Linked DNA regions of Ovis aries. The protein of the gene in region 1 interacts with the protein of each later gene in a biochemical or structural test. Links are inferred from orthologs where the notes say so. Each region holds a gene or a part of one and is shown in the gene's direction. Other genes may lie near its edges. The genes, in order: KIT, MPDZ, KITLG, TEC and SH2B3.

The links.
Region 2: the proteins of KIT (region 1) and MPDZ form a complex in vitro, tested with the Homo sapiens proteins (2 studies listed by BioGRID and IntAct, with this or other methods). The link is inferred for Ovis aries from reciprocal best matches to the Homo sapiens genes KIT and MPDZ.
Region 3: the proteins of KIT (region 1) and KITLG form a complex in vitro, tested with the Homo sapiens proteins (3 studies listed by BioGRID and IntAct, with this or other methods). The link is inferred for Ovis aries from reciprocal best matches to the Homo sapiens genes KIT and KITLG.
Region 4: the proteins of KIT (region 1) and TEC form a complex in vitro, tested with the Homo sapiens proteins (2 studies listed by BioGRID and IntAct, with this or other methods). The link is inferred for Ovis aries from reciprocal best matches to the Homo sapiens genes KIT and TEC.
Region 5: the proteins of KIT (region 1) and SH2B3 form a complex in vitro, tested with the Homo sapiens proteins (2 studies listed by BioGRID and IntAct, with this or other methods). The link is inferred for Ovis aries from reciprocal best matches to the Homo sapiens genes KIT and SH2B3.

What each region holds. Positions count from the first base shown.
Region 1 is NC_056059.1:70,895,355-70,899,998, forward strand, and holds the start of KIT (mast/stem cell growth factor receptor Kit), read left to right. Parts: upstream 1-1,837; 5' UTR 1,838-4,644. UniProt on the Homo sapiens protein: Tyrosine-protein kinase that acts as a cell-surface receptor for the cytokine KITLG/SCF and plays an essential role in the regulation of cell survival and proliferation, hematopoiesis, stem cell maintenance, gametogenesis, mast cell development, migration and function, and in melanogenesis.
Region 2 is NC_056055.1:81,785,912-81,790,443, reverse strand, and holds the start of MPDZ (multiple PDZ domain protein), read left to right. Parts: upstream 1-1,676; 5' UTR 1,677-1,936; intron 1,937-2,058; exon of another isoform or gene 2,059-2,644; intron 2,645-4,532. UniProt on the Homo sapiens protein: Member of the NMDAR signaling complex that may play a role in control of AMPAR potentiation and synaptic plasticity in excitatory synapses. Promotes clustering of HT2RC at the cell surface.
Region 3 is NC_056056.1:124,865,337-124,869,994, reverse strand, and holds the start of KITLG (kit ligand), read left to right. Parts: upstream 1-1,801; 5' UTR 1,802-1,993; coding exon 1,994-2,008; intron 2,009-4,658. UniProt on the Homo sapiens protein: Ligand for the receptor-type protein-tyrosine kinase KIT. Plays an essential role in the regulation of cell survival and proliferation, hematopoiesis, stem cell maintenance, gametogenesis, mast cell development, migration and function, and in melanogenesis.
Region 4 is NC_056059.1:67,509,995-67,513,873, reverse strand, and holds part of TEC (tyrosine-protein kinase Tec), read left to right. Parts: intron 1-2,423; coding exon 2,424-2,542; intron 2,543-2,625; coding exon 2,626-2,783; intron 2,784-3,879.
Region 5 is NC_056070.1:55,166,141-55,170,766, forward strand, and holds the start of SH2B3 (SH2B adapter protein 3), read left to right. Parts: upstream 1-1,596; 5' UTR 1,597-1,948; intron 1,949-4,105; exon of another isoform or gene 4,106-4,626. UniProt on the Homo sapiens protein: Links T-cell receptor activation signal to phospholipase C-gamma-1, GRB2 and phosphatidylinositol 3-kinase.

The sequences.
Region 1 (4,644 bases):
AAAGAGATTATAGAGGGTACGTTGGTATTTGTTTTGAACAACTGTTAAAATCTTGCATTGTTGACTGTTCGTAAGTGCCCTTTTCCTTTCTTATTTATGCTTTTTGAGATCAGGGACTGTCTCCTAGGTCCAGCACTTACCAGGATAGCTGGAATGAATATTTTCTGAATAGATCCTGGAGTTCCTAGCCCCCAGCCATCATTCACTCTATTAGTTGGTCCTCAGAATGGTGGGTTTTGCCATCTGTCATATTTGGGGGACTCATTAATTAACATATTCAGGAAACAGAAAATAACTCAAGTGTTTTTATTAGTCAAACATCATTAGGGAAGTACATTTCAAACACAAAAAGTCCTGACATAGATAAAACCTCATTCAGCAAATGTCTGTTGAGAACTTGCTATATACAGATACATTTCAAAATGTATGATTCCAGAGCAGTTTCAAAGCTCAGTTGGACTAATTTATTGATATTGACTTTTAAATATAAAGGTATGTATGTGTATATATATATATATGTCTGTGTTTTTACACATACAGACACACATACTGTGTGTTTGTATGTATGTGTGTGGGTGTGTGTATATATATATATATACATATATATATATTTAACATGAACCTCTAATCTTTGTGTGTGTGTATGTGTAAGAGAGAGAACATTATAACAGCACTCAAGATAGTTTGGAGAAAAGAGAATAAATAATATCCGCAGCCACATTCTAGTATATGCTCAAGTTTGTGGGTTGAACTTACATTTTATTTTGAAAAGAAAACCCTGAATGCCTCTGGTGGTGACTGTTTTAAAAATTTATTCTTTTAACTCTGAAAGCAAAGTGTAAGCTGCTGCTGCTGCTAAGTCGCTTCAGTCGTGTCCGACTCTATGTGACCCCATAGACGGCAGCCTACCAGGCTCCCCCGTCCCTGGGATTCTCCAGGCAAGAACACTGGAGTGGGTTGCCATTTCCTTCTCCAATGTGTGAAAGTGAAGTTGCTCAGTTGTATCCAACTCTTCGTGACAACATGGACTGCAGCCTACCAGGCTCCTCCGTCCATGGGATTTTCCAGGCTACTGGAGTGGGTTGCCATTACCTTCTCCAAAAGTGTAAGCTAGTGATCTCAAATTTGGAACCTTTTCTTTTGGTGGTACCTATGGTAATTTTAATGGATGAATCAAGCCATTACTTTTTCTTAGTAGAGCAGCAGAATAGACATTGTTCTCCTTTGGAGAAGAGGTCAGTAGACTGTTGACATCTGTTACTGGGGCTAGGTGTTTCAGAACCTGTCCTTCCTCCAATCTTTTATATGGTCAGTGATTGAAGGGCACTTTTGTGTAACTGTGCTGGGGTGGAGAGGGAGTGGGATTTGTGATCCTTGTTCTGAGGGCCCTAATACCCCAGAGTAGGCAGAGGTAAGGTCTAGATGTAGACCACTGTTGTACATCAGAAGCCAAATGGGTGATGGAGCTGAAGGTTTTGGAGAGTTTAGTGGGAACAGGTGATCGTGACCTGGAATAGTTAGAGAGCAAACAATATCCATGAAGATTGGGCTTTCTTCTTGATAAGGAGGCAAAATGATGGAGTAGTTATGTCCTGGGTGCATGGACAGAGAGGTGGGCATAGCATGGAATGAAGAGCGTTCACAGGATCCTTAGGCTAAAAGGATTGGAGAAGCAGGTTGGGTCCAGAGGAAACAGCTAGAAATTAACACCATGAGAGTGCTCTGTAAGCTGTGCATAATGTCAGCGTTAGCTGCTGCTTGCCTCTGTTAGGGTTTTTGAGGCTGGTGTTGGGGCTGTTGAAAAAGTGTTTTAGGCTGACGGATCTCAGGGTTATGAGGCAGGATGATTTGGGGGTGGGGTAAGTGGAGGCTGGAGACATGGAGATCTTTCAGGAAAGGATTTTCTTTCTGGACATTGTAAATAACGTCTGGGATCAGCGCAGCAGGAGTGGAGAGACGTACAGGGATGTGTGACAGGCTCTAGGGAATGACTGGTATGATTTATTGCCAAGGAGGGAGAAGTCAGGCAGAAATCTGGGAAATGATGGGCCCAGTTACTTCCATAGGAAATGTCAGGACTGATTGGAGGGAAGATGAGACTGTTTCTAGAGTAATCGTGTCTTGTACATATTACGTGTTTTCTGCATGCCTGAGGACAGTTCTGGGTGCTTTCCATAACAGCTTTATGAATTAGGTGCTGTTACTGTCCCCACTTTCCAGATGAGGAAACCAAGGTAGAGATGCTTGGTAACTTTCTTAAGGATCACACGCTTGCATTCTGGCAGATGCAAATCTGGACAGTCATATCTCTAAATGTGATGGTACTGAGGGAAGTAAGTTAGATGGATAAACAACAAGGTCCTACTGTATAGCGCAGGGAACTATATTCAGTATTCTGTGATAAACAATAATGGAAAAGTGTAAGAAAAAGAATATATATATATAACCAAATCACTTTGTTTATAGTAGAAATTAACACATAATTGTAAATCAACTATACTTCAATTAAAAAAAAATTAGAACCCTCAAAAAATAAAGAGAGTCAAGTTCTTACCTAGGATGCCTTACTGCTTTCACTATAGTAACTAAGTGAAGAAAGAAATACTGCGGCACACTCCAGTATTCTTGCCTGGGAAATCCCGTGGACAGAGGACCCTGGTGGTCATTTCCTTCTCCAGGACATCTTCCCAGCCCAAGGACTGAACTTGCATCTCCTGCATTGGCAGCTGTGTTCTTTACCCCCGAGCCACCATGGAAGCCCAGAATGAAATATATTTGCAGTATAAATTCTTAAGAATTTTTGAATTAAATTGAAAGTACTTCATTTTTAAAGGAGATAACTACTTGAAAAACCAGCATCTTCACTTACCACTGTGCCCATTTTCATTATTTAACAGTCTGTATGACTAAAAATCACCCCAACTACTTTATTTCCATAGTCTGGTTCCACCATTTAGAGCTTCAGTCTGGGGACACACACAGTCTGGGCCATAGCACTTCTCTTACTCTTGGTGCTCGGTAACATGTGATGACTAATTCACCTTATTGTTCATGACTCAAGGCTGCCCAGAATCTTCTGATCTGGGGTGTACTTTGCATGACGTCATGGGGCTATAATTGATGGCATGGTTGGAAGGCACTCAGATGAAATACTTGTCTGGATAACTAAACTGAGACTGGTGATTTATACACACCTTCAGGGGACAACTTCAGCCATTCTGTAGAGCACTTTTGGGCTGTCCCTCTCTGTGGATTCTGTTCCTGCTATCCTCAGATGTCAGCATGCCTCCTATTTTTTTTTTTTTTTTTGATAAACTTATAACCTTTTAACTGCTACTGAAATTTTAACTACAGATCTATTTCTGTGCTTTCTCCTGCCATAGTTCTCCAGGAAGAGGTCTACACTTGCAGGCTTAACCTTGAAGCCAACAGAAATTCCCACTCAACTGAAATTGGATTTCCTGTGGTGTCTTCCTAACCAGATCTGGGGACCTGTGTTCGCTCCCTTTGATCTTGCTCAGCATCTGCCCTGGGACCCATCCACCTTCTCTTGGAAACCTTTTGATGTGTTGCCTCCCTTGTCTATTTTAGCCTCTCCCCCTCCTTTCTGATGGTCCCATTAAAAGAAAAAAATCTGTCTTGGCTCTTTCCTACCCACTCTTAGCTGGAAAAACTCTGCGACCAGTACTCATTGTGTCCCTCTTTTTTTTTTTACAAAACCGTTTCCTTGGATTATTTGATCCTGTCTTATAACTTCACAGGTACTGCTCTTTCCCCACCATCTGAATTTCACATCATCAGGTGAGAAGTCCACCTGCTGGCCAGGTATAGCACCTGGGAGCAGGTGTCCCGCTTCTCTCATCTCTGTCCCTTTCTTACCATCTGAATTGGTGGTGGGAAGTCCACCTGCTGGCCAGGTGTAGCACCTGGGAGCAGGTGTCCCGCTTCTCCCATCTCTGCCCCTTTCTCACCTTTTCTCCATCCCTGCCCTGAACATGTGCAGAGGCTCCTGCTGTGGCTTCCTCTGGCCGCCCCTGCCTCCCACTGGCCCCTGCCGCCCACCCGCTGCTTCCTCCACTGGCTTGGATGGCTTTTGCTGCTCCTTCAGAACCCACATCAGTTCTTGTCTCTGACCTTGTATGTGTGGAGGGGAGCTTGTGCCTCTCCAAGGCACATGAACCATTTCCCCCATGATCCTGCAGAAGTGGCTGAAAGCCCCCCAGGGAGCTCTGTTATCCTGGTGCCCTCGCCCCCCTCGCCCGGATTGTACGTGAGTCAACCTTTTGTGTTTTTCATGGCGCCGTCACCACTAGTGTGCTCTTTCTCTGGCCGCCTCACATCGTCCTCTTGTCTAAATCCTTAACTGTCAGTTCTGTGGCTTCTGCTGGCCTGAGGGCCAGAACTTTTCACTGATCTCCTTGAGTCTAGTTGACCTCGGGTATCTCACTGTGCACGAGTGTCTCTGGTGTCTGTCTGTGGTATCTGTCTGTCTGCTCTTTCTCCTCTTCTGATACTGTGGAAATCCAGCCCACTTCTTTCTCTGTAGCCTGAAGCTGTCTTGAATCTATGTTTCATTATTCTGACATTGAACGCTGTGTACTTTAAGCTCTGGAGTGTAAGGACTTTGTGTCCCTTCTACGTGGA
Region 2 (4,532 bases), on another chromosome or scaffold:
CCCTCTCTCTCTCCTCTTTTTTCCTCCTCTTCTGTCTCTTCTTCAGAATGGTGAAGCCTGAGAGTGCTTATTGAAATGCTACACAATGCAGAGGTGTGCGGAAGAGACAAGGGGAAACCTTAAGCTCGGATGAGTTTCCACTTACTACATCTCAACTTTTATTTTCAAAAGACTCAGAGGAAATGAATATCCATATACTATGAAGAAATCTAGTCAGTATTTTTCTTTCACTGGTGGGAAAAACTAGGCGGATTCATGTTTATAAAAGCACAAGGGTGCTTGGGCTGAGGATACTCCATCCAGGGCACTGAGGTCACTTTACTCAATTCCTAGTCATTTGCAGGCAAATGTTTCATTTTGTAGCTTTCTGAAAATATCCATTTAAAAACTCAAACCAATTTCCCCTTGAAGTCTTGTCTATCTTATAACCTATTTCCCCTCAAATAGTTGGTGAATATTGTAGAAATATATACAAATCGCTTTTAAAAGACAAATCAAAACTTACAATTCTGCCAAGGAAAAATAGATCTTTAATTCAGGATATTAAATACATTCTTTAAACATTTTAATTGGGCTTCTGCGTATCCTTTGATGTATGCCCTAATGTTACACTTATGTATTGAAAAGGGAGCAATTTTCTTTCCCAGACAAGATTCCTGGGACTCATGAATCGAGGATTTCAGAAAGATAATCTTAATCGGCACAAGATAGAAATAAACATGCTTTTTCTGGCACCTTGTAATTCTGAAGCCTTCTTACATTTTTTCCTTTGTGTCTTTTAGTTCGATTATTGTCAAAAAATGGACACTGATGCGCTAAAAGTTACTTTTTTACAAAGTGAGATTAGCGCCCAGGCGTCCTCATTAAAGTGCTTCTCATCACTTTAACAAGCAGAGAGAGACAGACTGTGACAGAGTGTGAGGGAGAGAGAGAGTGTGTGTTAGTCGCTCAGTCGTGTCCACCTCTTTGTGACCCCATGGACTGTAGTCAGTCCATGGAATTCTCCAAGCAAGAATACTGGAGTGGGTGGCCCTTTCCCTTGGGATTCAAAAGAAAAAAAAAAAAAGAGGTTCTCAGAAATAAGTTCCCAAAGGTTGCCAGATTCAGCAAATAAAATCAAGGCTGCTCAGTTAAATCCGAATTTCAGATAAACAGTTTTTTAGTGTATAGAAAGTGAAAGTGAAGTTGCTCAGTCGTGTCCGACTCTTTGCGACCCCCTGGACTGCAGCCTACTAGGTTCCTCCGTCCATGGGATTTTCCAGGAAAGACTACTGGAGTGGGTTGCCATTTCTTTCTCCAGGAGAACTTCCCGACCTAGGGATTGAACCCAGGTCTCTCGCATTGTAGGCAGATGCTTTATCATCTGAACCACCAGGGAAGTGTATAAGAATTTGGTGTAGAAGAATATCCCAAATATTGCATGGGGCAGACTTGTCCAAATGAACGCTTCTTTTTTTAAAATTTGACACTGGAATTAAACGGGGCTTCTCCCCAACAACCTCGCGTAGCCCACTCCCCACACCCCAGCCGAGCGCCCGCCGAGCTGGTTTAAACCCCGGGCCGGCCGGCTGGGCCGCGCCCCCTGATTGGCCGAGGCGCGCCCGCCGCCCCGCCGGCCGCAGGCGTCACGCAGCCCGGGCGGCCCGAGCCTCGCCGCCGCCAACGCCGCCGCCTCCGCGGCAGCCCCGGTTGGCGCAAGTGCGGCGCACGCAGCGGGAGGGGGCGACGGAGGCTGAAGCTGGCTTCGGGCCGCCGGTGCTCGGGCGGGATTAAGTTTCTCGGTCGCGCGGGAGCGTCTGTGCGCGTTCATTCCGAAGCTCCTCGCCGGGCCGTTACTCCGCGACAGAGGAGAGCAAGCGTGGGCGAGGCGAGGCTCCCCGCGTCCCCACCCCCCGCCCCTTTAGCGTTCCCGCCGAGGGCGGCCGTCGCGAGCCGGGTAAGCGGCGCCGGGGCCCGGGCCGGGAGGCCGGAGCGCGCCCCCGCGGCCTGCGCGCGCCCCGGCTGGGAAGGTGCGCGGGTGCCGGGGGCTGGGCGCTCGGCGCGGGCGGCGGGAGGGGTGAGCTTGCCCCACCCCGCGCTACCGAGAAGTCGCTGCTTCTTTGGCTCTTGAAAAGAATGGGAGTCTGGAAGTTTCCTTTGCGACTCGCCGGGTTCCCGAGCGGTCGTCCTGGTTCTTTAATCCACTTCCCTCCTCTTCTGCTCTTGTTGACTCTTAAGAGGCTGAAAAGTTTCATCTTTTCGTTCGCCTGGAAGGGCATAGTAAGGGTGGCAGGGAGGGGAGCCCCGGGCCTGGCACGGGCGCCTGTTGCTGTTGGCCGCGCCTCAGCCCGGACGCCCACTCGATTGCTCCGCGAGGGTCGGCAGGGATGGGGATGCGCCCCTAGACTGGCGATCCTCGCCTCGGCTGCAGCGGGGCACCCAGAACGGGCGGCTCACTGGTACCCGCCCCCACTTCTCACCCCTCCCCCTAGCGCCCGTGCCCTTAACATCTCGTGTCCGCGTTGGTGGGAGCATTTTTCTCTCGCCTCCCCCCCTCTGCTCTCCCCCCCCCCCACCCAGCCCGCGCCAGTGGGGCGCCTTTGTCTGCAATTTCGCAGCCTCAGGATGCCGGATGTTTCTAGGGAAGCGCTTCTCTGAATACGCTGTGCGTGTATGTGTGTGTGTTTGTTTCACCGGTGGTGATGGTGTAAATTCTTGCTTGCGTTCTTACAGAGGCACAAAGGCTGGGCTATTCTTTCCTGTAGATCGCGTGGAAATTCAAGCTGGGACTGCGGAGAGGAGGAGGGGCCGTGCGAAGGCCGGAGGTGGCCGCCGCTCCTCAGTGTCCGCGGGCGAGTCGAGGGTGGCGGGACGTCTGCCTCCATCTCCGCGGCTGGGGGTGCTGAGGTCGCTCTGCTAGGGCAGAACCTGGGTATGGGCGCTATGTGCCTTGGGCGAAATGGGAGCGGGTGGCAGCTAATGTTTCAGAGATACCAGATGAGAGGACCTTACTTTCACCAGCCTAGAAGGAAACCTCTCCAAGTTCTTTTGATGTCGAGAGGGGAATAATCTGAAAAGTGGCCAAACTTGTCATCCAGCTTTGTTGGACAGCCATGGTGTAAACACTCCTTTTCTCTGGACATTTCTCATTTAGGTTGCCTGTTAAGAATAAATAACATCTAGTGTGAAAAACTTACAAGGTGATGCAGTGGGCTTTCAGGGTTACATGTACGTTTGGGTATAGGTGACTAAAGTGAACTTTATCTAAGAATTGCATCATCTAAATTTGCTTAATACTTGCTTTAGCCCTTGGTAGAATTAGGCAGTTGAATTAAAAAAAAAACCCCAAAACTTGAAGTTCCTTGGCTAGAGTTCTAATGCAATGCAAAGCTCAAGGTGACTGCACCTGCACCCTTGCCTGAGGGAGGGGCTGGAAGCTTTGGAGGGTGGTGGAGATAATTTTGTCTGGGATGCCCAGATTTCCTGCTTGCTAATGGGCTAGTTTATAAATGGGCGACATTTATCTAGACTGGGCTGTACTGCACACTCTGCTCCTCACAGTTGACAGGAAAATCCTTAAAAGCAGAGATATGTAAACTTAAGAGCCATGGGCCAAATATTCTGCCGCAGCCTGGTTTTTTCCCCTGAAGTTTAAGAGCTTTGGATGGTTTGTACACTTTTAAATGGTCGAAAAACGCAATCAAAAGAATAACACTTCATGACGTGAAAATTACATGAAAATCAAATTTCAGTGCCCATAAAGTTTAATTGGAGCACAGCCGCACTCATTCCTTTTGTCCGTGGTGCATTCTTACTCTTGGTATCTGGTTTCACAGAAGCAGTGACATAGTTGATTGGTTGCATAGTTGAGATAGAGATGGATAGCCTTCAGAGTCCCAAAAGTTTACTGTCTTACTCTACAGAAAAAGTTGCCAATCAAGATCAGGCTTCAGAAGTATTGCTTACATACTCCCTCTTGTGATGAGTGTATTGTTTAATTTCATTGCCTTTTAAGTCCTGTTTCTGGTATCCTAGGAAATGGCAGACTGTTCCCCAGTAGTTGGGCAAGTTAATGTGCTGGATTTTCTCATTTCCACGTTTCACTCTCAAAAAGTTTTCTTAACCTTTTGGCATCTTTCTTTTTTAGAATCTAGCCTAAAGTGGGGTTTCTGATTAGCAGAAACTATATATTTAGTTATCTTATGTTTAATATAGATAGCTATATCTCAAGGTGCTCTGCAGTGAGTTCTGGTGACATCTAGTTACTCTGCTACCTGAGCAGTTTTGATAACTATATTTTTGTTTATTTATGTAGAGAGAAGCAGAGGTTAGGGGGTGTCATAAGTTCCTTTCCACAGGCAAATTGTCACCTACGCAAAGGTAGTTTGGGGGGCTCCTTGACTCATCAGCGCTTGTCTTGCCTACCTTATTTGTAAAACAAACAAAAAATCGATGTTTATCTCAATGTTTTACTACTAGATTGCTCACATGTAATAACCTTCCCTCCCATTTCCTTGGCTCTTTTCAGTATTTCTTTTCCCTTCACTTGTTTC
Region 3 (4,658 bases), on another chromosome or scaffold:
TTTTTTTTTTTTAACCGATGAGCCACCAGGGAAGCTCCCTTGAGTGTGGCAGATAGAATAATGCCTGTACCTGCTGCCCCCTCAACCCCTACCAAGATATCAATGTTCTAATCTCTGGAACCTGTGAATATGCTATGCTAAATGGCAAAGGGGAATTAAGATTGCAGACAGAATTAACGATGCTAATCAGATGATTTAGGGAGCATACCCTGGATTATTCAGGTGAGCCTAATGTACACAAGGTCCTTCCAAGTGGAAGAAGGAGGCAGAAGGGAAGGCCAGAGTGGGTGATATGAAGACTCCACTCACCCGTAACTGATTCTGAAGAAGAAAATATCTGTGAGCCAAAAACTCTGGATTACTTCTAGAACCCTGGACAAGCAAGAAAAGGAATTCTCCTCTAGAGCTTCTATAAGGAACATAGCCCTGTCAACATTTAGCCCTGGGAGATCCATTTTGGACTTTTGACCTCCACACTGTAAGATAATAAATATGTGTTGTTTAAAGTGAGTAAGTTTTTGTTATTTGTCACAGCAGTGATGGAAAACTAATACTATGAGCTTCAAATTTTACCTAGTTTCTTGTTTTTCATGATTATAAGTTTGGCATATTCATTTCTCTAAAAAGGCTCACTGAATTAATTAATTTGGAATCCTACTCATTAAAATACCTAATTCCTAAATTTACATAATATTTTTCTTATAGATTATTGACATTAATCTCTAGTACATACTTTCTTCAAAGAATTAATAAAATGCTTTTTAGTGGTCTGAAATAAGAACAAATATAATGGGGCTTTAGAGAGTCAATAATTGTTTTAAACATTTTTGAAAGCTATATAGCCAGGACTCTGGATTCAAGTTAAGTTCTGCCATTTACTAGCTGTGATTTGGGAAAGTTGACCTAATTCTGTTTCATCAACTATAAAATGGAAATAAAAGTGACAAGACCTAAATAATAGATTTGTGGAGAGGATCTAAGTGAGATAATCGCTGTAAAGTACTAACGCTTTACAGGCACAGCGCCTGGCATGTAATTAAGTGCATCGCACAATGGTTTTAGTTATTATTGTTGTTGCATTATCTGACTCCAAAACCTTCTCCAACAACAGAAAGTACAAGTTTCAAAAGTGCCTGGTTCTGTGGCCTGCCTGTTACCTACCGCTTCTCGTTTCGTCTTAATTTCTAAAGCAGCAGCCATAAATCACTCTGGAAACAGCATCGCCCTTAGCAACATTCAACTCTGAGTCAACAATCATTTCAATGATTAAATATCCATTCACTAAAGTAATTGTTTAAAAAAATTGGAGTGGGACAACGGCCTAACTATATAGATCCTAATTAAGCTTTAAACATATTTTTCCCTAAAGCAGGACGAGGTGAATTCTTCGCTAGGCCCCGAGTGACCCCTCCAGCCCCGCCTCTGCAGTAGAGAAGAAACTACCAGCCGTCGCCCAAGCTCAAGGTTTCTCGTGAGTCCCCGGCCGTGCCAGGCTAAGAGGCAGATCAGAGACTCTCCGCGCCCGGGGCGCAGAGCGAGTGGCGGCTGCAGCGTGTTCACCTTCGTCCTCGGCGCCCCCGCGCCCCAGTGGTCTCCCAGCCTTGCGCGCACCAGCCCCCCAGCGCTGGAACGCGCTTCGCTTGATCTGTCCAACTTCTGGCGCTCCAGCCGCCCTCCAGGGTTTGCGCCCCTGCCCCCTGCCCCAGCCCAGGCTTGCTTCCCCGGGGCTCCGGAAGGGAAGGAGGCGTGTCCGGAGTAGGCGGGCGGGAGCCGTATAAAACTGCTGGCGGCGCGCCGGCCCGGGCTTCGCTCACCGTCTCGCGCCGGGACAGGGATCGCCGCGGCAAGCACTGGCAGTGGAGCGGGCGTTGCGCTCGGGCTCAATGCGTGGACTATCTGCAGCCGCTGCTCATGCAGTATGCTGGAGCTCCAGAACAGCTAAACGGAGTTGCCACACCGCTGCTTGGGCTGGATCACAGCGCTGCCTTTCCTTATGAAGAAGACACAAGTAAGTAGGGCGCGCCGGGGAGCTCGCCAGCTCTCCAAGAAAAACCGTGCCCGGAGGCCGGCGCGTTCCGGCCCCAGCTGCCCCGGCGTGCGGGGCTGTGCCTGCCGGACGGGCCTGGAGGGTGTGGGGGAGGCAGGAGAGGCGCGCGAGCCCCAGCCGCCCGGCTTGGGTGAGCCTGGAGAGGAGTGGGAAGGATGAGCGGGTGTCAAGTTTGGAGCCGTAAGTTGGGAGCTGTCAGTCGGGAGCCTCAATTCCTGTTAGACAGAAGGATCTGTTCTTTGGCCGGAGAGTTGAAGTTATTCCAGAAAGGCACGTCCTTGCACGGGAGACATTTTCCCGTGGATTTCGGGAAGATTACACAACAGTTCCCCACGCGCCACGCTCGGTCACTCGCGTACTCAGATTTTTGTGTGGCTCCGGTGTGGGTGCCGGGCTCGTGTGGACTCTGGTCCGAGTCAACCCCGAGGTCCTTATTCGCCGCGCTCAGCTGGGTGGAGAACCTGCCCCACCGGCCGGGGGAAACTTGGCTCCCACGGCGTCTGCCAGGTTTGCGGCTCTAGGCGAGCTCTAGATAGGGTAATACCTCCACATTGCACCCACTTTTTTCCATTACAGAAGAGAAAAAGTTGTATAAGTGTGCGCGCGTGCGTATTTTAATGGGCACCTCTGGTGGTAGTTACGGAGGTAATTCCCGGTGCTGCAAAATTTGCATTATGCACAAGAAGCACAGAGGGTAGGGCACCGTCTAGGGGTACAATTAGTTTTTTTTTTTTTTTTTTTTCCTTTTCTTTCCTCGCAGCAGATATCTCTGGCTTGTCCTTGATAAAGGGCCGGAGGGGCACTCCCATTCACAGTTCTTTTCGCCAGCTCTCACCTCTACTTTCTCCCATTAGGAATTTTTCTGTGTTATCTGCTGCGGGTTAGGTGAGGCTGCCCTCTCACCCCCCAGAGGTTCTGTTGGAGATTGCAATTCTTGACACGTGTCGAGGGGGTGGAAGTGGCGGGTGAAAAGATTGTATACGTCTTCAGTTTAGAATCTTGAAAATGCTGTATTTAATGACACACTGTGTCACATTTTCAATAAACGTCTAGATCTGGGAAGGGTACCAACGCATTCAGAAGCAAGTAGGAAGACCCGAGCCCATTACACTGTGTGGAAAAGAGCAGGGGTCTGGGACTTGGCCTGGCAGAAAGGTTTGTGTAATCTCTAGGGCAGCTGCCCAAGGCGGAGGAAAGGAGCGCAGCGCAGGTTTCTTTCTTGCCAGCAGGTTAGTTTATAGGCAGAGCACCTGGGATCACCGCAGCGGGCTGTTGAAATGCAAATATGGAAGACTGGCAACAGAAGTTTTAAAGTAATTGCTTGACTTATACATGCTTTCTGCTGTGTGAAATTAATAAGCATGGGCGGGGAACCAATTCTTTGTTACAGTAGCATCTGCTCACATGAATGGCAGTAGTGAGATCTGGGTGGAGAACCCCGCTACCTTCCGGTTCAGGAAAACAGCCTAAACCTTCCTATTTAAACAAGATCTCTGGAGACAGATCAGGTTAATGACCAACAATCCAAAGGTGGGGGGTGGGGGGTGGCGTATGGGACGGTACTATCAAGTCAAGTTAGATTCGGTAGGATTGATGATCCTTGCACCCTTGCTTGCTTTGCAAAACAAACGGTGAGCTCTGTAATCTCCTCTCTCACTTTGATTAAATGGCTGTGTAAATCGGATTACATGGAATAATTCCATTGAAAACTAGAAAGAGGTCGAACTAGCCTGAAACTCCTTGGTGGCAGTGAATCAGTACTGCTGACCAGGGACGTTGGAGACAGGCAAGTATTTTAGAAATGTGACCTGCTCAGGCTGAGTAAAAGTGCAAGCCCTTTGGGGGAACTTGCTGATGCTGAAGGGCTGGAGGCAAAGGAGGGCAGTGCCCTTGGTGAATGAAGGCATTCATTGCCTGGGATCTAATGACCTTCAAGGTTTCCTTTAAGGATACTTCTAGCAATTCCACATTCTTGCCACTGAAGAAGGAGACCCTGGAAATAACATGGAATCAATGAAGTAATCAGTGGAAATGGGGGAGGGTGCGTAGGTCCTCATTCATATTGTTAGCTTTTCTAATCCAAAAGTTACAAAGAAATTTTCTAGTGCAACTCTGTATGGAGGGAAAGTAGCATAAGGTAATCTGGCATTAAGAGATGAGATCAATCGTTCCAGTGAATCTAATGTTATACTCGAAAGGGTGGAATAGCTATTAATATTCAGTAGTTGAAATAGTCATTTATAAAGATGGAATCAATTTCAAGTTCTGTAATAAAGCAAACAGTTGTGTACCCTTCCATTACCCAAGATATAGAATGATAAATTAATATACTTGAATTATGCAGCTCTCCAAGAATCACAGGGACACCAGGCTGTAAGACACATTCTAGCCTAATAGTCAAGCTAAATAAATGTGGAAATTCCACCAACAACCACTTGGGGTGTGAAAAAACGATTCTTTCATTTATTTAGCACATGTGATGGACCAGCAGATGGGCAATAATTACACGGCAGGAGTCGTGAGGAGCAATTTGAACGGTTAAGTTTTAATCACGTCTACAGAAATGAAAGTGGTTTGCATTTTTCAGATTTCTGAATGTATTTTATCCTTA
Region 4 (3,879 bases), about 3.4 Mb from region 1:
ATTGTGTTAATCATTGTTAACCATTCTCTCCACTAGGTGGTAGTATAGCCTGTTAAATATACAGCTTTCTTTTCTCCCTGGTGAGGATTAAATTTCTAGAATCTTTTGTTTTGATAGAAATGTGTTTGGGGTACAGTTTTTAGAATAACCAAATCGGTAGTGTTTTTATTCTCCTAATTTTTAAAATTTTAGTAGTGTGTTATAAAAGACCTTTAAAAAGTATTTCATTTGTCCTTTCTTTCCCTCCTTCCTTCTTTTCATTCATTCATCTGTACGTGTGTGAGTCCTAAGTCACTTCAGTCCTGTCCGACTCTTTGCGACCCTGTGGACTGGAGCCTTCCAAGCTCCTCTGTCCATGGAATTCTCCAGGCATCTGTACCTCCATCCATAAAAAAATTAGGTGCCTGTGCTGCGCTAGGCACAACATTAGAGATTGAAGCCTAGCAGAGGCTAAGACATTCGAGTCCCTGCCCATGTGCAGCTTTAATTCAGGAGGAGAGAGAAGCATAAGACCTCAGAAGCACTAAGAGGGGGAAACAACAGAGTGAGGTACCAGCACGGGGGTTCGCAAATATCAGCCTCCGGGCCACATCTGACCTGACACCTCTGTTTGTACAACCTGAGCCACCCACGGTGTTCACATTTTTTAATGGTCTGAAGAAAACTTAAAAAAATGTTATGACATGTGAAAATGATCTGAAAGTCCAATATCAGTGTCCATAAATATGATATTATTAGGACATAGACTCGTCTGACTGCTTTCTCTCGACAAAGGCCTGCAAACCTGAAATATTCATGATCTGGCCTTTTACAGAAAACATTCGCCAACCCTTGTGATAGTGATAAGCTGGGGTTCGTGGGGTGGTGGGTGCTGAGTGATGTGTGGGGTGGGGTGATGGTTACTTTTTTAGGTCTGTTGCTCTGGAAGGCTCTTTGAGACCAGGATATTTGGAAAGGGACTCAAAAGGTAGGCAGTAGTCAATTAGGTGAAAAATCTGACTGTAAAATAATCCAGGTGGTAAGAAACAGCGAGTGCAAAAATTTGAAATTAGGGATGAGTTTGGCCTGCTCAGGAGTCAAAAGAGGGTCAGGGTGGTTGGCCCACGGCCAGCGTGAGGAACGGTTATAAAGCAGGCAAAGCCAGGTCATACAGCCAGGTCTCTCTCCTAAGGAAATTCAAGCCAAGGGAGGTTTGAAAGCCATTACTGTCAGAAATGGGACCAGAACTGCCGACTCTCAGGAAGTAATGACCCAGTGCTCTTTGTTTTCATTCTGTGAAGACATTCTGTATCTGCCAGGAAGATCTCCAATTTCATGCTTGATTTTCGTATATGTCAGTCTTTCAGAAAAACCTGTGCTTTTGCATCAGTCCCTCTAAAACAGTGGTCCCCAACCTTTTTGGCACCAGGGACTACTTTCATGAAAGGAAATTTTCCCATGGACCCGGGGTGGGGGATGGTTTCAGGATGATTCAAGCACATTATATTTATTGTGCATTTTATTTCTATTAGTATTACATCAATTCCAGCTCAGATCATCAGGCATTAGATCTTAGAGGTTGGGAATCCCTGCTTCTAAAACACTCATTCCACACTCAACTCAAACTCTGCTGACAGGCACCCATGGTGGCATTGTCACCATCTTTGTCTATACAGCAAGGGAAGTTTGTGCAAGTATTTGAATTTTCCCATGGAGCTTGTATAAGTTAACTTCATATGTCCCTGTACTACATAAACACCTTCCTCTTGCAAATACATACTGAACACATTATAAAAAGGGCTGAAGAACCCAGGTTTACCATCCCAATTAAGGATCCTCCCCAGGGGTAACTGGTGTTACCAGCTTGTGTGTGTCTTCCCGGAAGGACATAAGTGTACTCCCACAGAAGAATTACATGCTATTGTTTTGAGTGTGTATGTATAGAGGAGGGATGTTGTGGTATATACACCACAGTGTACAGACATCATTTTGCTCTTCTTATTTGCTATAGTTTTAAGTGGTGCTCTGTGGAATCATGGGGGCAAAAGCACATGTTCCAGGCTCTTTGCACCACTTCCTTAGAGCAGCTCTGCTTTAGATGTTTTATAAATGCAGCCTTTGGGTAGAACTTGGTTTATAGGACAAAATTGCTTATTTAAAAAAAAGGTTGCAAGCTTTTATTGTGTGCTGCCTCCACTGCCTTATAAAAAAGAAAAACATAAAAGTGAAAGTGCAGATAGAATGTTACAGCGTTTCCATCTCAAGCACCCAGAGGAAGACAACAATCGCAGAGGCGTGGCTGCAGAGGCAAGCAGCTTCAACCGGATGCTTGTTGGACTTCAATCAACTGTGTTTTGATTCTGGGGTGGGTGGCGGGGGTGGGGGTAAGGGGGTATTAAAGAACCTGTCCAAAATAGAGATCATAACTCACTGTCTTACCCCAGGTATGTCCTGGATGATCAGTACACGAGTTCTTCTGGTGCTAAATTTCCTGTGAAGTGGTGTCCACCTGAGGTGTTTAATTACAGCCGCTTTAGCAGCAAATCAGATGTCTGGTCATTTGGTAAGACTCGAGCTCCACTTCCCCTCAACTCTGCCCTAAAGAGGAAGTGGGTGCATTGTTTGGCAATCCTTCTCGTCTTCCAGGTGTCTTAATGTGGGAAGTATTCACTGAAGGCAGAATGCCCTTTGAGAAAAACACCAACTATGAAGTGGTAACCATGGTTACCCGCGGCCACCGACTGCACCAGCCAAAGTTGGCCTCCAGATATGTATACGAGGTGATGCTGAGATGTTGGCAGGAGGTATTACATTTTTGGGGTGCTTTCTTCCTCAGTCTCTAAAGCATTCAGGGATCTGGGCTTGGTAGATTTTAATTTAATGTGTGGTCATTATAGCCTAGTGCATGCTTTACATGATTTCAGACTCTTAAGTAGGAAGCTGCTCTTCTCAACTCGGTCTGAGTAACAGGAAGAAGATGTGAAGATGAGGAAAACACTAATAATAAGATAGTCAATTCAGGCTGCCCCTTCCCTCCCAAGTGGGCATCCTGCCGTGGTTGCCTGAGTTGGGGACTCTGGGAACAAACCTGGAGAAGTAGCTCTTCTTTCAGTGGCCCTCTTGTGTTATGGAAATATATACTCTTTCACCAGAGAGGATTTCTTTCTCCAAGCCTCAAATTCCTCAGGTCTCTTTACTCGTAGTCTTTGGAAGCTTTCCTTCTCCATGTGTTGAAATGTTACCTCATAGAAGAGACTGGCTTCCCTGGTGGCTCAGTGGTGAAGAATCTCCCTGCTAATGCAGGAGACGTGGGTTTGATCCCTGGGTCGGGAAGATCCCTTGGAGAAGGAGATGAGAACCCACTCTAGTGTTCTTGCCTGAAGAATCCCATGGAGAGAAGCCTGGCAGGCTCCAGTCCATGGGGTCACAAGAGTCGGACCTGACTGACAGTTAAACAACAACGACAGAGATTAGACACGAAAGTGACTTTTGGAAGAAAGTCGCTTCAGTCGTGTCCGACTCTGTGCGACCCCATAGACAGCAGCCCACCAGGCTCCCCCGTCCCTGGGATGCTCCAGGCAAGAACACTGGAGTGGGTTGCCATTTCCTCCTCCAATGCATGAAAGTGAAAAGTGAAAGTGAAGTCGCTCAGTCGTGTCTGACTCCTAGCGACCCCATGGACGGCAGCCTACCAGGCTCCTCCATCCATGGGATTTTCCAGGCAAGAGTGCTGGAGTGGGGTGCCATTGCCTTCTCCAACACTAACATTAGTTCACAAGTATTACGTGATAGGCACTGTGCTAAGTGCTTTCGGTTAGTCCTCAAAGTAACCCTGTGAAGTTTGGATACATTGACCACGGTGTGGATGGGGATACCATGTTAATGCCTGCCCAAGGCCAC
Region 5 (4,626 bases), on another chromosome or scaffold:
CCACTTTCTATTTATTCGTGTTCTACATCCCCTCACCAGAATGTCAGCTGAGGACAAGGGATTCCCATGAAGGCAGGGATATTTGTCTGTCTCATTCAGTGCTGTGTCCCCAGCACTCTGAACAATGCCTGACATACATATTTATGGAAAGCACATGTCTGTGGCCAGTTCCTTCAAGGTTATTGAACTCTAAGGATCCTACAGCAGACAGGCCCCCTTCCGCCATCTGGTGAAATCTGGAAATCCCCATCTTCTGGGGGAACCCCTTCCTGTAGCACCAACGGCAGGACTCAGGCCTGATTGTTGAACAAACACTAGCAGTGTTTCCCCTTGGGCAAAGCCCCTTGCTAAGTACTTTAATGCATTAACTCATTTAATCCTCAAAACAACCCTGGGTTATGGGTACTCTTATTATTTCCATTTCATAGATGAGGAAATTGAGGTGTGGAGAAGTGAAGTCATTTGCCCAAGCTTAGTAAGAGGGGGAGGCAGGGGAATGGAAGAGTGTGTTGTCTGGAAAGAGTCCATGTGGCCCCTGCAAACTGGGGGTGTGAGCGACTTGTTTCCTGTTGTGGGAGGGAGAGAAGAGCAGACATTCCTCTCTCCCCTCCTTCCCTGTGTTAGAGGAAGGGCTGGCTGGGTGTGTGCTCCCCTTCAGGCTAGTGCGGACCCCACTGTGAACCTCACCCCACCTTTGGCTCAAATAAAATGAAAGTAGCCCCGGGGAGAGCAGAGAGGGAGGCCCAGAGGCCATGGGAGCCAGCGATTCAGGAAGGCTTCCTGGAGAAGGATGCCCTCCTGGAGTTGGGAAATGGATGGGCCCATAGAGGCCCGTCTCCAGGGCCACTGGTTACGACAGGGGTAGAGCTGAGGGTGGCGCTATGGGGGGTCGGCTCAGTAGAGTTACGGATAGTCGGGGCTGGGCGGGGTTGGGATCCTTCCCCGGGTGATGATGAAAGCTGCGGTCGCTATTGCACTGACCGGCCCGGCGCGCGCAGATAAGGCCCGGCAGGAGGGAGTCGGCAGGAGGCAGTCGGCAGGAGGCAGTCGGCAGGAGGCAGTCGGCAGGAGGCAGTCGGCAGGAGGCAGTCGGCAGGAGGCAGTCGGCAGGAGGCAGTCGGCAGGGTCGCGCCCCCTCGAGGCCAGGAGCCTTGGCCTGGCCCCGCCTTCAGACCCCGCCTTTTCTTCATCCGACCCCGCCCCCACAGCGTGGAGGCTCCCGAGGTGGTCGCTGACGCTCCCTGGGTGGGGCCAGGATTGCCCCGCCCCTCCTGCCGTTCGTTCCCTACTTTAGGCTGTGCGATACGCCGTCGGGTGGGCGAGCTGTGGGCGTGGTTTCACAAGGGCCCGCCTCTCCGGGCTTGCGATTGAGACCCCAGGACTCGGTCAGTTGCGGAGAAATCGGGCTGGTGGGCGGGGCATGGACCAGCCCCGCCCCTCGAGCCCTGTTTTTCCCGCCCCCCTCCGCCTTCGGCCGAGTCCGGCTCGCGGGCGGGCCGGGGGCGGGGCTTCGCGCGGCCCGGCCCCTCCCCGGCCCCGCCCCTCTTGTAGCCGCCCTCCCCCGCCGGGATCTGCTAGCACAGCCGGTTCCTCTTTACATAACGGCGAGGGGCGGCATGGGCTCGGGCCACCGCCTCCGCCCGGCCGCCCGCCCGGACTGTCGCGGCCCGCGGTGGCGACGTCGGAGACAGCAAAGTTTCCCCGGTGCCGGCCCGGAGGCGCATCCTCCCGCAACTGTCAAGCGCTGGCGGCGGAAATGATGAGGCGCTGGCCATTTTCCGAGCCCGGGTTTCCTGCCTGAGCCCCGCTCGAGCGAGCCGCGAGCCAGGAGCCGGCGCGCGGGAGAGAACGCGCCCGGGGCGGGGGCCCGCCCGCCCCCTCGGGATTTCGGGGGGCCGGGGGCGCGCGACGCCATGGGCCGGCCGGGCCCGGACCCCCTCTCTCTCAGGTAAGCACGCCTTTCCCAGTGCTCCCCTCCTCCGGGGCTGGGACGGCTTCAATGGGGGACGGGGAGGCCCCGTGTCCCGTTCTGCCCAGTGTCTGCGCACTCCCGCAACTGCCTAAAATATTGTCCTGCTGCTCACTCAGGTGGGGGTATTCAGGGGTGACCGTTCCCCAGCTCCTGCGACACCCACACACGTGTTGGGGATGTAGTGGGGGTAGCTGAGGCAGTGGGGGAGGCGCTGGGAGAGGGTTTGGCTAATACTCCCAGCTGCCTCTTACTGTAGCCTAGCCAGTCAGTTTGTGCCTAGAGAGGAGGGGCTGGGGGTCACTGCTTTGGTACCTTGAAAGTGAAAGTAGTCAAATTGAGCCCGTGAGAATGGAAGCGTCCTCTTGGAGTGGGGCACAGGCCTCTCCCTACTCTCCCAGGCCAGGCCATGTGGCTAAGAGGATAGCACTCAGCACCCCCCACCCCCAGCATTCCAGAAACCCCTCTCCCCATTCTCTGCCTTAGGGAGGTGGGGTGGCCCAGGCGCCCCCATGCTGCAGAATCAGTGGGTTCAAAAGGGTTAGGGCTTTCAGAGCTCAATTCTCTTTGGACTGGTACCTTCCCACCCTGGACATGGGGCTGCAGGGGAATCCTTCCACCCCAAAATAAACAGGGACACAAGTCATTGGCCTAATAGGTCAGCAGGGCTGAAAGGTATTTCAGAGGCCCTTAATGCCTGGTGCAGAAATCCCCTCCCTTCCCTCATTCGGTTCCTGGGGGTTTTTGGGACAGTGGGACTGCATTTGAGGAACTGGGGAGGGGGGCCTGCCTGCCATTCCACTTTTTTTCCTTGAGTTTCCTCATTCTCCTGTTTCTCTTCCCCATTCCCGGGGCCACAATGATGTAGGTAAGGAGTTCACTGCCTGCAGCTGGAGGCCTCCATCGAGGGGAATGGCCAGGCCGGACTGAGTGGGAGGAAGTGAAATTGGGCTCCAGGAGGGGGGTTTCTGAACAGAGGGCCTGGCAAAACGAAGTCTGGATGGCCAAGAACCAGCTTTGGGAGCAGGAGGGGCGGAGATCTGCCCTGGGAGATGAGCTTCCTCCGACACCCAGTAGCTGCCCTGCTCAGCTGGGGCAGCCAGTCCGTTCCCATTTACAGTCCAATCCCTAGGGCCCCTGCCAGGGCGGTGGGCACATGCATCTCCAGAGTTGTGGGTGCGAGCTGTGTCTGAATTTCCCATCACTGACCTGGCTGCCAGAACGGAAACAGCCCTGGAGGCCCCCTGGGGCCCAGAGACCCAGCTGTAGGAGGGGGAAAGCGGACTGAGACCCTTTGTCAGGCTGGGGTCAGCAGATGAGAGGCCAGGGCCCGTTGGGGAAGTTGGATGGGTTTTTAATACAGTTTTTCTGAGCTTTTTCCCACAACCCCCCTCTGGGAGGGAAAATCCTTTGGAGCCAAAGGGTGAACATTCCTAGAACTCGTGTGAGTCTCTGTGGGCCATGGAGGAGCCAGCTGGGAAGGGGCTGGACTAAAGAATCAGCTTCTGGCGTCTGAGTTCCTTCAGGGGCTCAGCAGTGACAGAGGAGGGTCGTGGAAGCTTAGGTTCCCTACCCCCACTGCTTTTTCCCAGCCGAGGGCATGGGCAAGTGACACTTGTAAGACTTGGTTTCCCCCTGTGTGAAATGAGGTAATAATAGGTTTGTGGTAGGCATATAATGAGCCTGGCATGGAAAGGTTCAATTACAGGTGGTGGTGATTTTCCTCATTACCATCATTAGTGTTATTGTTACTGGCTGTGGAATGTTTGTTCATCAGCATCCCTTGAGCACCACCTGCGCGAGCAGCTCTGGGGTTTCCTGAGTTCTGGGAGGAGAATTCTGGAGTTCCTGGACAGGGTGAGATGTTGGTGAATCCCGGCTCTGTGGCCCCACCTCAGTTTCTTTATCTGTCAAATGGGTGTGATATTAGTACCTACTTCTTTAGGGTCACTGGAACCATAAATGAGTGAATTCATGAAGTGTTTAGAATGGCTTGGTCAGGAGGAAGAATAGTAATAAGGAAGAGATTGTTGTTATCTTGCTGTGTGTGCCTTGTTTTTCTTCTCCTTCCCTTCCGCCCTTCTTTTGAATCCTGGGCTTGATCCTTCTCCATTAAAGGGAACTTCTAACACAAATTCGTACCTGTAGAACTACTGCAATACAGCAGAAGCCTGGGCCGGGAGGAGCTGGGGGGCCCTGCCGGGGTTCAGCCTGTAGGCGCCATTGGGTGTCTGGGTCCGGCTGTGCCGCCTCCTGGACAGAGCTTCCTTGGGGGCAGAGGGGGCGGTGATGGAGGCACTTGGAGGGACCTTCCAGCTGCCCTTCTCCCGCACTGCCCACCCTGAGTAGGAGAGACAGAGCACATAGGGCACTCAGTGCTGGCCTTGGCACTCAATTAATAATGGACACTGTTGTTGTTATTGTTATTCAAATGAGAGGACTTCTCTGTTCAGTTCTTGCTTCTCCCAGTAGCAGCATGGGTTTTAGAACCAAATCTGAGCTTTGCCAGCTTCTAGCTGTGAAGCCTTGGACAAGTTACCTGACCTCTCTGGACCTCAACTGCCCAATGGGGGTTCCAGCTTCTCTTGGGTATATGATCCTATATGTGAGTTCATATGTGAAGGGTATGAGCCTGGCAGAGAGTAGGGACTCCCACT